Caenorhabditis elegans: one gene and its partner. The protein of the gene in region 2 interacts with the protein of the main gene of each other region in a pairwise test. Each region holds a gene or a part of one and is shown on either strand. Other genes may lie near its edges.

Evidence for each region. Proteins that work in one complex are often made in the same cells at the same time.
Region 1: the proteins of gras-1 (region 2) and icl-1 interact in a two-hybrid assay, tested with the Caenorhabditis elegans proteins (one large-scale study listed by BioGRID).

What each region holds. Positions count from the first base shown.
Region 1 is NC_003283.11:723,339-730,257, reverse strand, and holds icl-1 (Malate synthase), read left to right. Parts: upstream 1-2,253; 5' UTR 2,254-2,300; coding exon 2,301-2,330; intron 2,331-2,399; coding exon 2,400-2,873; intron 2,874-3,278; coding exon 3,279-4,106; intron 4,107-4,174; coding exon 4,175-5,423; coding exon of another isoform or gene 5,424-5,434; exon of another isoform or gene 5,435-5,475; coding exon 5,476-5,801; 3' UTR 5,802-5,920; downstream 5,921-6,919. Other genes in the region: fbxb-72 (F-box domain-containing protein), read left to right, coding at 6,431-6,498, 6,544-6,919.
Region 2 is NC_003279.8:7,833,386-7,838,086, forward strand, and holds gras-1 (General receptor for phosphoinositides 1-associated scaffold protein 1 homolog), read left to right. Parts: upstream 1-2,422; 5' UTR 2,423-2,441; coding exon 2,442-2,549; intron 2,550-2,600; coding exon 2,601-2,817; intron 2,818-2,866; coding exon 2,867-3,106; intron 3,107-3,154; coding exon 3,155-3,327; 3' UTR 3,328-3,582; downstream 3,583-4,701. Other genes in the region: F30F8.1 (RING-type domain-containing protein), read right to left, coding at 1-40, 85-312, 359-560, 609-799, 848-1,162, 1,207-1,383, 1,429-1,680, 1,726-1,814 and 1 more; F30F8.9 (Letm1 RBD domain-containing protein), read left to right, coding at 3,679-3,755, 3,843-3,964, 4,219-4,334.

The sequences.
Region 1 (6,919 bases), on a different chromosome or scaffold from region 2:
GTTTTCTGATAAAATACACATTGATTTACCGGTTTACAAAACAGCGCAAGGTTAAAAAAAATTTTACCTTTAAAATTTTTTGGCAAGGAAGGTGTAAAAATTATTTTAAAAGATTCGAGTAAAAATTGAAATTTCAATGTTTCAAAAAAGATTGTCGGGAAGTTTAAATTAAAATCTTTAATTTAAAAAAAAATTTCGATAGTTTTGGAATTTTCAATTTCCAAAAAAAAATCGAAAAATTATGGCGAGTCATAAAAAAAATTAAAATTTCCGGAAAAATCGTTAAATTTTAAATTCTAAAAGGTATAAATTTTACAACAAAAAAATCGATGAAAATTAATTTTTCTAACCATTTTGACAGCACTTTCACATTAAAAAAAAATTGGCGGGAATTTCAAGTTTTAGGTTGTTCCAAATTTTTTGGCGGTGAATTAATATTCTATTTTTCGATTAACTTAATTTCACAACAAAAAAAAATTGGAGAAAGTTATATCTTTAACTTTTCTACAAAATTCAGCGCTAAATTTAAAATTTTGATTTTTAAAAAATAAAGTTTCCGGAAATTAAAATATTCCTAACTAGCCTAAAGCCTAAAGCCTAAAGCCTAAAGCCTAAAACCTAAAGTTTAAGACAGGGCTAAAGTTTCATGTAAAAAATGGGTTGAAAATTAACATCTTTAATCTAGATTTCTTGTTGTAAAAAGTGTTCATTATATTTTCTGGCACCGCAAATTCCAAATAATTTTTGACCTTCCACTTCTCTTGTCAAACAACTTCAACCACATGTGTTCTGACTCCTTATCACCAAGATCATTGATTAGTGCACATATACATCTCACATCATAGATACTTTTCTTTTTTGGATCAAAGAAGCTTCAGCCCCGCCACTTCACAGATCATATGGTTACAACAAAGAGATAAAGAGATAAGTCAGGAGTCCGCAGAGAAACTAAGAACCAAACACGCGATATTCGGGTTGTCCACCGTCGGCTGTTTTTGTTGCAGTGGTGAATTGGGGATGTGTGTAAGAAAAAAATTATTTGGAAAAAGACCAACATCGTGGCGCGGTGAAGGTGCTTTGGTGTCTTCTTTTTGAATAGTGCAATTATTTGAAAAATAAGACCAAAGTATTGTTTTCAAACAGGTTATGCAATAGTTTATAGTTAAAAGAAAACCTGAATTTGACAGATATTTCAAAACTGGCGGGGATAGCCGGTCTTAGTGGCCGCTAGCAACGAGTTCAAGCCCTGACACCCTCTAGGATCACCCAGTCTTAAATGGAGCAATCTGAATTCTCCGTGGCTCGAACCTAAATCCCAGAGAGAGCTCCACCAGGAATGTTGTACAGAAATTCAGCGATGCATAAGACTTGAAGAACGGGTTTTATTTGACTTGAATTTAAAATAAAATATAGGTTTTCAGTTAAGTTTTGTAGCCTTTTTGGGAAATTCTGAACATATTTTAAAACTTTAAAACTCCCCGCTACTCCAAAAAAATATCCTATCAATGTTGTTTTCTTACGAAAAATAACTGATTCCAGTGGGATTTTGTTTGTTTGCCCTTTCATTATATGTAATTGTTTACTCAACTTTTTCCTGATTATTTAGTATTATTTAACATAAATAGTCTGGCAATATGAAGAAGTAAGCTTTACAAATTTGAAAAACCAAAATTTACCATTTTGTAAAATTTTTCAAGTCACGGTTACAGCCAAATAATTAAGTGAAAAATTACAAAAAAATTATTATGTACATTAAAACTGCAAATTGGGTGCAATTCTAGACTAATAAAAAATATATAAATGCCCTAAAAATTTCATATCTTAATTTTTTCTGGTTGATTTATTTTGACTTTCATTTTTTGTAATTTAAAATAGACTTACAATTTTGTAATTCTGATAGAAAAACCAAGTTTTTTCTAAAATATTAACAGTTAGCACCCAGCATTTCAAATTTCAAAAAAACTGCATTATTGACAAACATCTCCCATATACCTAAACATTTTCAAAAAGCGTACTTCATCAACGATCAACCATCATATCAAGCTGCCAAAAAGACACACAAAAAAAGCGTAAACAAAATAATTGACTGTTCTCTCTGCACCTCTGCGTCTCTTTCTATCTATTCATCAATTGTCTCTCTCTCCTAATGATATCACACACTGCCTCGACTCCGCCCCCTATAGTTTCGGACCCTTATCGCTCTGCGTCTCGTCGGGCAGAGTATAAAAGCCGGGTCCCGGGAGGTGTGCCGACTTTAGTTCCCTCACAAGAACTAAGCTTATTATACAAAGACACACACAATGAGTTCTGCGGCTAAAAATTTTTATCAGGTATGTTGGTTTATTTTTTTATAATTTGAAATTTAATATATGAAATTTTTAAAATTTAAATTATTTCAGGTAGTCAAATCGGCTCCAAAAGGCCGCTTCAAGGGCATCAAACGTGACTATACCGTCGAAGATGTGCTCAAACTCCGAGGCTCCATCGACATTGACTACACCCTTGCCACACGTGGAGCCAACAAACTCTGGCAACTATTGCACACTGAGCCATTTGTGCCGGCTCTCGGAGCCCAGACTGGAAACCAAGCAGTTCAGATGGTCAGAGCCGGATTGAAGGCTATCTACTTGTCCGGATGGCAGGTGGCTGCCGACGCAAACTCCGCTGGAGACATGTACCCCGATCAGTCTTTATATCCAGCAAACTCTGGCCCGGAATTGGCGAAGAGAATCAACAGATCTTTAAGAAGAGCAGACCAGATTGAAGCCTGTGAAGCCGAGGACTACCTCGCCCAACGTGATTGGTACGCGCCAATCGTTGCCGATGCAGAAGCCGGATTCGGTGGAGCCCTGAATTGCTTCGAGTTGATGAAGGTAGGCATGCAACACTAACAGTTGCTCTTCACTGACCACTGGACACTTTTGGGGGTGAGAGAGATAAGAGTGGCAGTTGGCATTGCCGGTGTGTAGCTTTGTTGTGTAAAAGTGTATAGTTTCAAATGATTTCAACGCGGGCGTCTAAAGGAAACGGGACGGGGAGTGTGTAGGGAACAAAGAATGTCCAGTGGTCCTGGTCCTTTGACCTATTCAGTTTTCCAAAATCGGTACATACGAAGTTCCATGTGTTCCTTTCTTCTCTTTTTATCACCCCCATTTCATCGCAGCGCTCACTTCTCGGTCAACAAACATCTTTCTTCTCTATTTTTCTCCACCCAACAATGATTAGAATGATTAGATAACGCTATCAAAAACAACAAAAATGATCGTTGGTTGTTTTAGGCCTATATCGAAGCCGGTGCGGCAGGAGTTCACTACGAAGATCAGCTTGGATCGGAGAAAAAATGTGGTCATATGGGAGGAAAAGTCTTGATCCCAACCGCCCAACACATTCGTCACTTGAATGCGTCTCGTTTGGCTGCTGATGTCTGCGGAGTTCCTACAATCATTGTCGCAAGAACCGACGCAGAGTCCTCTAGACTTTTGACATCTGACATTGATCCAAGAGATCATCCATACATTGACTACGAGGCTGGAAGAACGATTGAAGGATTCTACAGACTCAAGGATTCCACTGCAATTCAGTATTGTATCGATCGTGCCATCCAATATGCTCCATACACCGATCTCATCTGGATGGAGACCTCTCACCCAACGATCGCCGACGCCCGTGAATTCGCTGAAGGTGTCCACAAGCAGTACCCAGACAAGATGTTCGCCTACAACTGCTCTCCATCCTTCAACTGGAAGAAGCATCTGTCCCCATCGCAGATGGAGAAGTTCCAGAAGGAGTTGGGAGCTATGGGATTCAAATATCAGTTTATCACGCTTGCCGGATACCATGCCAACAGTTATAGCATGTTTGACTTGGCCAGAAACTACAAGGAGAAGGGTATGCTCGCCTATTCCGGGCTCCAGGAAGGAGAGTTTGCTGCTGAGAAGCATGGATATACGGCAGTAAAGCATCAGAGAGAAGTGGGAACCGGATACTTCGACGCTGTCAGTCGTGCGGTTACCGGAGGACTCTCTTCGACTACTGCCTTGTCAGGATCCACTGAAGAAGCTCAATTCCAGACTGCTGTTGCTTCGCAGGATGAGGAAATCCTTTCGGTACGTTTTATTCAGACCTGCATATTAAGGCAAGAATTAGAAGAAAAAATAACTAAACAAAATTTCAGCTCACCGCCCAAAACGTTGCTGGAGACGAGAAGATCCTCACACCAGATGCTCTTCGCTTCCTCCACGACCTCAACACCGAATTCAACCCTCGCCGTTTGAGACTTCTCTCCAAGCGCAACCAAGTTCAGGCTGATATCAACAACTCCCTCTGGTTCCCAGATTTCAACAAGGAGACCGAGGTGCTCCGTAGTGATCAAGGATGGAAGGGAGCCGAGATTCCAAGGGATTTGCAAGATCGTAGAGTTGAGATCACTGGACCAACCGATCGTAAGATGGTTATTAATGCTATGAACTCTGGAGCCAATGTATTTATGGCTGACTTCGAAGATTCCAACTCCCCAACATGGAGAAACCAGCTTGAAGGACAGATCAACTTATATGATGCTGTAAGAAATAACATCTCCTACACCCACCCAACTACTAAGAAGGAGTACACACTGAATGAGAAACACGCCGTTCTGAAGGTCCGTCCACGTGGATGGCACCTTCCAGAGAAGCATGTCCTCATCCACAACCAGCCAACTTCAGGATCTCTCTTTGATTTCGGACTCTTCGTTTTCCACAATGCCAAGGCCCTCATCGCCCAGGGCTCCGGTCCATATTTCTATCTTCCAAAGCTTCAAAGCGCCGAGGAGGCTCAACTCTGGGCTGACGTTTTCAAGTACACCGAGGACAAGCTAGGCCTCGCCCGTGGAACCATCAAGTGTACCGTGCTCATTGAGCATTTGCTCGCCAGCTTCCAACTCCACGAGATCATCCATGCCCTCAAGGACAACATTGTCGGACTCAACTGCGGACGTTGGGATTACATCTTCTCCTACATCAAGACGTTCCAGAACCATCGCAAGTTCCTTCTCCCAGACCGATTCCAAATTGGAATGACCGCTCCATTCATGAGAAACTACTCCTTGGAAGTCATCAAGGCCTGCCATCTCCGTGGTATCCATGCCATGGGAGGTATGGCTGCCCAGATTCCAATCAAGCACGACCAGGTCGCCAATGACAAGGCATTTGCCCTAGTCAGAGCTGACAAGGAACGAGAGGCCACTGACGGACACGATGGAACATGGGTTGCTCATCCAGGATTGGTGCCATTGGCTAAGAGAGTTTTCGATCAAATGATGCCAAAGCCAAACCAGATCAGCAAGAATCTCACCCGCGCCAATTGCACCAAGGAAGACCTCACTGTGATCCCAGAGGGAACCCGCACTGAAGCTGGATTCCGCCATAATATCTCTGTAACTCTTGGTGAGCCTTAAAAAATATTTTTGAACATTTTTGAAATTGGAATTAATTTCAGGATACCTCGACTCTTGGCTCAGAGGAACCGGATGCGTGCCACTCTACAACTTGATGGAGGACGCTGCCACCGCCGAAATCTCGCGTGCTCAGCTCTGGCAATGGCTCCATCATGATGCTAAGCTTGAGGACGGTCGCACTATTGACGCCGGACTTGTCAAGCAAACGATTGCCGCCGAGACCGAGCGTCGTCTCATCCGAGCCGGATCAGTTGTCAACCGAATCCCAGAGGCTGCCGACTTGCTCGAGAAGTTTGTCACCGAGGAGAAGATGAGCGACTTCTTGACCACCGACGCTTACGACAGGCTTGTCTCTGAAGGATATTAGGAAATTTTTTTAAATTTGAATTACTTATTTGTATACTTCTCTCCATGATTTTCGTTGCACCTACTGGTTTTCTTGTACATTCTGCCGTTAATTATAAATCTCTTCAGTAAAATTTTGTCATGTCCGTGTTGTGTTCAAAAAGTCCACGAATTCCAGACTTTCCCACGATTTGAGACTTTACCTCATATCCGTGTCACTTCATTTTTTCACACAAAAAAAGCACGTAGTGAATCACTTGAAAAAAAAATCTTGAATTTTCTCTGGTTCTCTGGTCTATGCGTAAGTCTCAAAAGTTTGAGATAAAAAGGTGACATCTATGAAGCGTGAAAATTGAAGCTGCAGAGTCATAAAGTACGAAGCGATGTTTTGTTACATAAGCTACATATGTTTTCTATCTAAAACTTATGTTTCATTATTCAACAATCAAATTGTTTCAACTGTTTGTGTTCGTGTTCCGCTGCAAACACATATAGCAAACTGTAAATTGCAATATAGATGCTCTACAGGTGGCCTGCTGCCTCCACACACCTATCGACTCAAATTAGTACATCTGCGCAACGACTCGCCATTCAAATAGTCGATAATCTTACGTCAGTTGTCCATTCCCTCTCATTTCTTATTTAGCACAAATGAATATTCTCCGACTACCCACAAAAGCACTTCGCTGCACACTTCAACACTGGCCGCTTCTAGAAATGTAAGTTATTTAACTAAAAACAAAACCAAATGTGAACAATTTCAGATTAACATTTTCGTTGTTTTCAAAAAAGACGAAAAATCTTTCTAAATCTCTGCATCGAAGCGCCTTATCGATTTCTGTGAATGTTGAAGAGTTGATTGAACTCAAAATTCAAATCGCTCGGCGTGATACAATCAACTTCATCTTTTACACAAGCAGATATAGAGCCAATCCCTACTATGACCCCAATGCGGGAGTTGTGTTAATTGATAATCCAGATGAATATATAGGAATCGTGGATACAACTAAAAACAGTCGGATTTGGATGCACTTTCCGAATATGGGAATACGAGATTTTGTTGATCACTTTTTCGATGTCTTGAGTCTTTCAAAACTTGATGAATTTTCCATATCTAAGGACAACTACTGCACTCAAGAG
Region 2 (4,701 bases):
GGAACTTGCGGTCTTCGAACGATGCTTGGAAAATCACAATCTGAATAATTGTTAATCTGGTTTTGAACAACACAAAATTCCTACATCAAGTTGCTTATCCCAGCAAGTGTACTTCTTCAAAGCAATTCGAGCCGATCCACTGATAACGTCCATCAATCCAAGTGAATCATTCCAAATGAACCAACTTCTCTCGCTTGTCTGATCTTCGCGCCCAATTGGATGAACAAGCATTCCACGTCCTTTAATACTGATTTTGTTTGGAGCAGGAAGCTTTGCAGAAATGATACAATTTGGATGCCCAAAGAAACGAAACTGAAATTTCAATGTTTGAAAATTAAAATTTCGTATTATAACTAACTCCTCCATATTCGCCTGGATTAATGACCATGAAGTAGACATAATCTTTTGTATCTGCGCGGGTGTCCGGAATTCTAATATGACCGAGACGTGATGAGTACACGTGAAGCATTTTGGGATCCGATTGACTATCTCTCTGGATCATTCCCTCTGCTAAGAAGGGATACGTTGCCTTGAACTTGGTGCGTACATTGCTCTCAAAGCTAAAAAATCGTGTTCTATTAAAATAATAATTCATTAGGACAACTCACTAAGCGTCTGTAACATTTTTCAGCTCTGTGTTATCCATATTGATAAGAATATCTGTCGCCAAATTGCAGTACTCTGTTTGGTTCATTTGTTGAAATGCTTGGACGGTAGACGAGGAAGATGTACCACCTTGTTGACCAGTTTCTGATGATTCCCATAGAGTACCCATTGAATTCGGAATGACACGAGAATTCTAAAAAATGAATTTAATTTAAATCCCATTTTCTTAATTTTTTTAAACCATTTGCTGTTGATCAAACTGATTTGATGTTCCTTGATTCATACTAAGTTCATTCAACTCTCGCCGGAGAAGTTCTTCCCTCTCTTGGGAACGTAGACGAGCAGTTAATTCAGTGAACATGTTAGGAAAAACCGTTTGACCCGGAAGATATGGAAGATCAATGTTTTCAATACTCTTTCCGCTGGCAATGAATGGTATTGTTTTATTTGGATCGATGACGTCATTGTTTTGAGAAATGTTAATAGCAGCATCATTTGACTCAGAAAGCCATGTACTTTGTTCAATTTGTTCTGCTGGAATCAATACACTTGGACGCTGCAACTAAAAAATTTTGAGAGAACTGCAAAGCTCTAATTTACCGGGAACTGATGACGCTGGACCATTTCAAAAACCCCATCGAGATCAGCGTTCAACTCGGAAGACGGAACTTCACCCTGATTGTTGGCTCCATGATGAATATTTAAGTTGTTCACTTCTCTTATAATTTCAGCTGGAGCTTCATCCACTTTAGGCTGAACTGAACCGAGTTTGCGTGTCTGTCAATAAAATTCATTAAACGGGAATTAAAAGTTAAAACCAACCAGGACAGGAATTGATTGAGATGAAAGACGACGTTGTGATGAAGCTGCCAAAGTGGAACTGGAAGGAACAAGCGCAGTATCTAAGGCTGGGACAGATTCGGAATTCGACAATTCTTGGATTGGGAGAAGCCTTTGTGTGAACGAGTTTCTCACTCCAGCAACTTGACTACTAGTGGGCACCTCTGACGATGTAAATGATTGAATTTCCTGTCGAAGAGATTGAGGTGGTACTTCACTTGAGCGAACCATGTTCTGGAAACATATTTTATCAATCAGAATATGAAAACAAAGTAAAACCGTTTGCGCGATTTGCTGAGGAACAGAAGTACTGGTTGGTAGAACTGCTTCACCAGAGAGTACAGGTGGAGGAAGCGGCTGGGATAAATCTGAAAATCGACTTGAAACTTAGGTCATTAAAAGTTTCCACAAACCTCTCTGATTACCAGCGAGATATCGCTGAGGATTCATACAGAAATTCCTCGTAAACTCATTTACTTGTGCTATATATTCAGCATAAGAATCATTCATCGCGAATGATCCTTATTTTGACAAAAATCAAGGGAATTTTCACAAAAGTAGGAAAAGTATTTAGGAACGAGTTTTCGAAAGCTGAAATTTCGAAAGCGTGTCATGTGTTTGCGTGTTTCAGTAAATACCGTAACCTTCATATATTTCAACAACAAATAAGAAAAGGTGCGCACGCGCTAGTCATTTGTTTGGTCTTTTAGTCGTTTATTTTTTTGCATGATGATTGTGTTTTAGTCACTTTTTACTTAAGTTTAATAATTTTATATGCTTTCTTCTAAAGTTATTACCGAATTTCCCATTATAAACTTTGCGCGTCGAATCTGGCGCTTGCGTACATGTTTCTCGTCTCTAGCTTTTCCTTTCATCTTCTCACCAATTTTACAACTTATCGACTTTGTTTCGAGTCTTGTGTTGTTTAAACATTTAAAAAACTCTAAAAACATGTTTTTTTGTTTAATATATGTTATTTCAGAGTTTCTGCTTTTATGGATCACATCGACGCTCATAGTGCGGTTTCCACGAGTTCGAGCTCTTCAAAATATGATACGCCGGATGACAATATTTCTGAACAGCGACTATTGTGTGACGCAAAAGTAATTATTTGATTCTCCATTGAAGAACAACCATAATATTCGTTACTACAGGAAGAATATCCACTGAATGATTATCTTTTCGATGGGATCAATCAAGAATCCGCACAACGGAGCCTTCTTCTATGTCGTCAAACATTTGAAACTTCCTTTGGCTTTGCTCTCCAATCATATGTATTCAAAAGAACATCTTCAAACAGTTACGAAAGAATAACTTATGTGGATTACGTGTCGGCTGATAGCCCAGCTGATCGCTGCGGGATAACACGAGGTATTCAATCATTTAATTCAGCTTTTCCTGCCAACTACTGCAATTTTAGGCGACATGGTCATTGCTGTCAATGAAAAAAGCGTCGTCACTGCCTCCCATGCAGAAATCGTCGAATCAATTGCTCAGTGTCTTCAAGTCAGTCTCGTTCTGGTCTTCAAAGATGTAGCAAGAATCGTGGAATTGAGCATGCGGTCGATTCAGTTACGATTCATGCTCGATGCAAAAATTAGAGAATTGAGGATGCTCGAAAAGACGGAAGAAGATTTGCAAGCATTATATGACGATGAACGTAAGTCGAGTTTACGGTTATTATTTTGATTATTTGTAACAATTTTAGATGGCAATGAGGAGGAAGACGAATCACTTGAAAGCACGCTTTACGAACTTGATGAGGAGCTAAAAAATGTACAAAATCCACAAGAAAAGGAAGCAAACGGCACTGATTATCGCCATCTCATTCGCATCAACAGTAGCACGTCTGTTGGAACTCCCCAAGTCACGCGTCTCTAGTAAAATCAATGTCTTTCATATTTTCACGTTTATCTCTGAACACTCATGGGTAAACATGTATACTCTAATTATATATTTCGATCCCTGGTACATAGTTGTACATATATGTATTTTAACTTCCTGTCTCCGCCCAAAATTTGCCATTTTATTCCCATTCCAGTCATTTTGATTCCCACAAACCTGTGATCATGGTTATGATTCTAGCCTGCCTGTTATACTATTAGTTTCAGGAAATAACATGAAGTTTTATCTACTATTCCTGACACAATTATTTCAATTATCCATGAGGTTCTGTGCCTTTTCTACTTTTTCGTTTGTTTTTCCTTGACAAAACTACTTTTTTTCAAACAGATGCACTCATTGTCAAGGATTCTTCTTCATCGCAGTAACAGTGTGCTCAATTCGCCTACTTTTCTTGTTGCTGTTAGGTAGACCTTTTCATCATTAAAACCTGTTTTATTCTGAGTATCCGTTAAATTCAATATTATCCCTCTAAAAAATGTGTTCTACTTCAGACAAACATCAGCCGGTCCACCTCCAGCCACTCCAGCTAAAGAAGGATCCTTGACCTACAAGTATGAACAATTTATTGGAAAATGGCCTAAAGTGTTGGCACTTCACAGGACTGTTCTTGAAGGTGAGGGAGTTCTCCGATTAACTTACTTACTTTTGAAATTCAAAAATGACATTTTCTGATCTTTTTTATTTTTATTCAGAGATCTTGACATGCTCTCTTAAAGTCGCACGGATTTATTCAGATGGGTCTCGGCGCAAAGTTTATGGCAACTTAAACTTCGCCCCGTGACTCATCTGAATAAATCCGTACACCTTCATGAAGGAATGCCAAAATCGTGTAAGATTACAATATCATCTTGTGAATCATATATTCAGGCTCTCGATGGTGCTTTGCCGATGTGAAAATGTATTTCAAGACGAAACGAGCTGTGGCTACCGGTCAGAAGAAGCTCACAGATCTCAGCGTTGAGGAATTGGAGACACTTGTTCAGGTAGAAATAAACTACGGAAAAGGGTCTATTCGTTGTTCTTTTTCTTCATGAATAGACTCAAATTCTCCCTTTTTGTTTTTATTTTCTATTACAAGGATAGTCAAAATACTAGCAAATTATCTAGAGTGGAAGCGAATTGATCAAAATGCTCACACTCATTGTGATTCTACAAATTCCTGGTCCTGGCGACATTCTAATTCTTATGTTGTGAGTTGTCCTAACATTTTTGGAATATTTTTTGTCGGTGTTGTTAGTTATTTTTAATTCCGTTTTCTTCTTTTATATAAAAAATTTGGGAGCGTTCTTTGGGGGTTTTGCTTTAAATTATAGATACGAAAAAGTATATAGAATTGTACATGATTTTTTT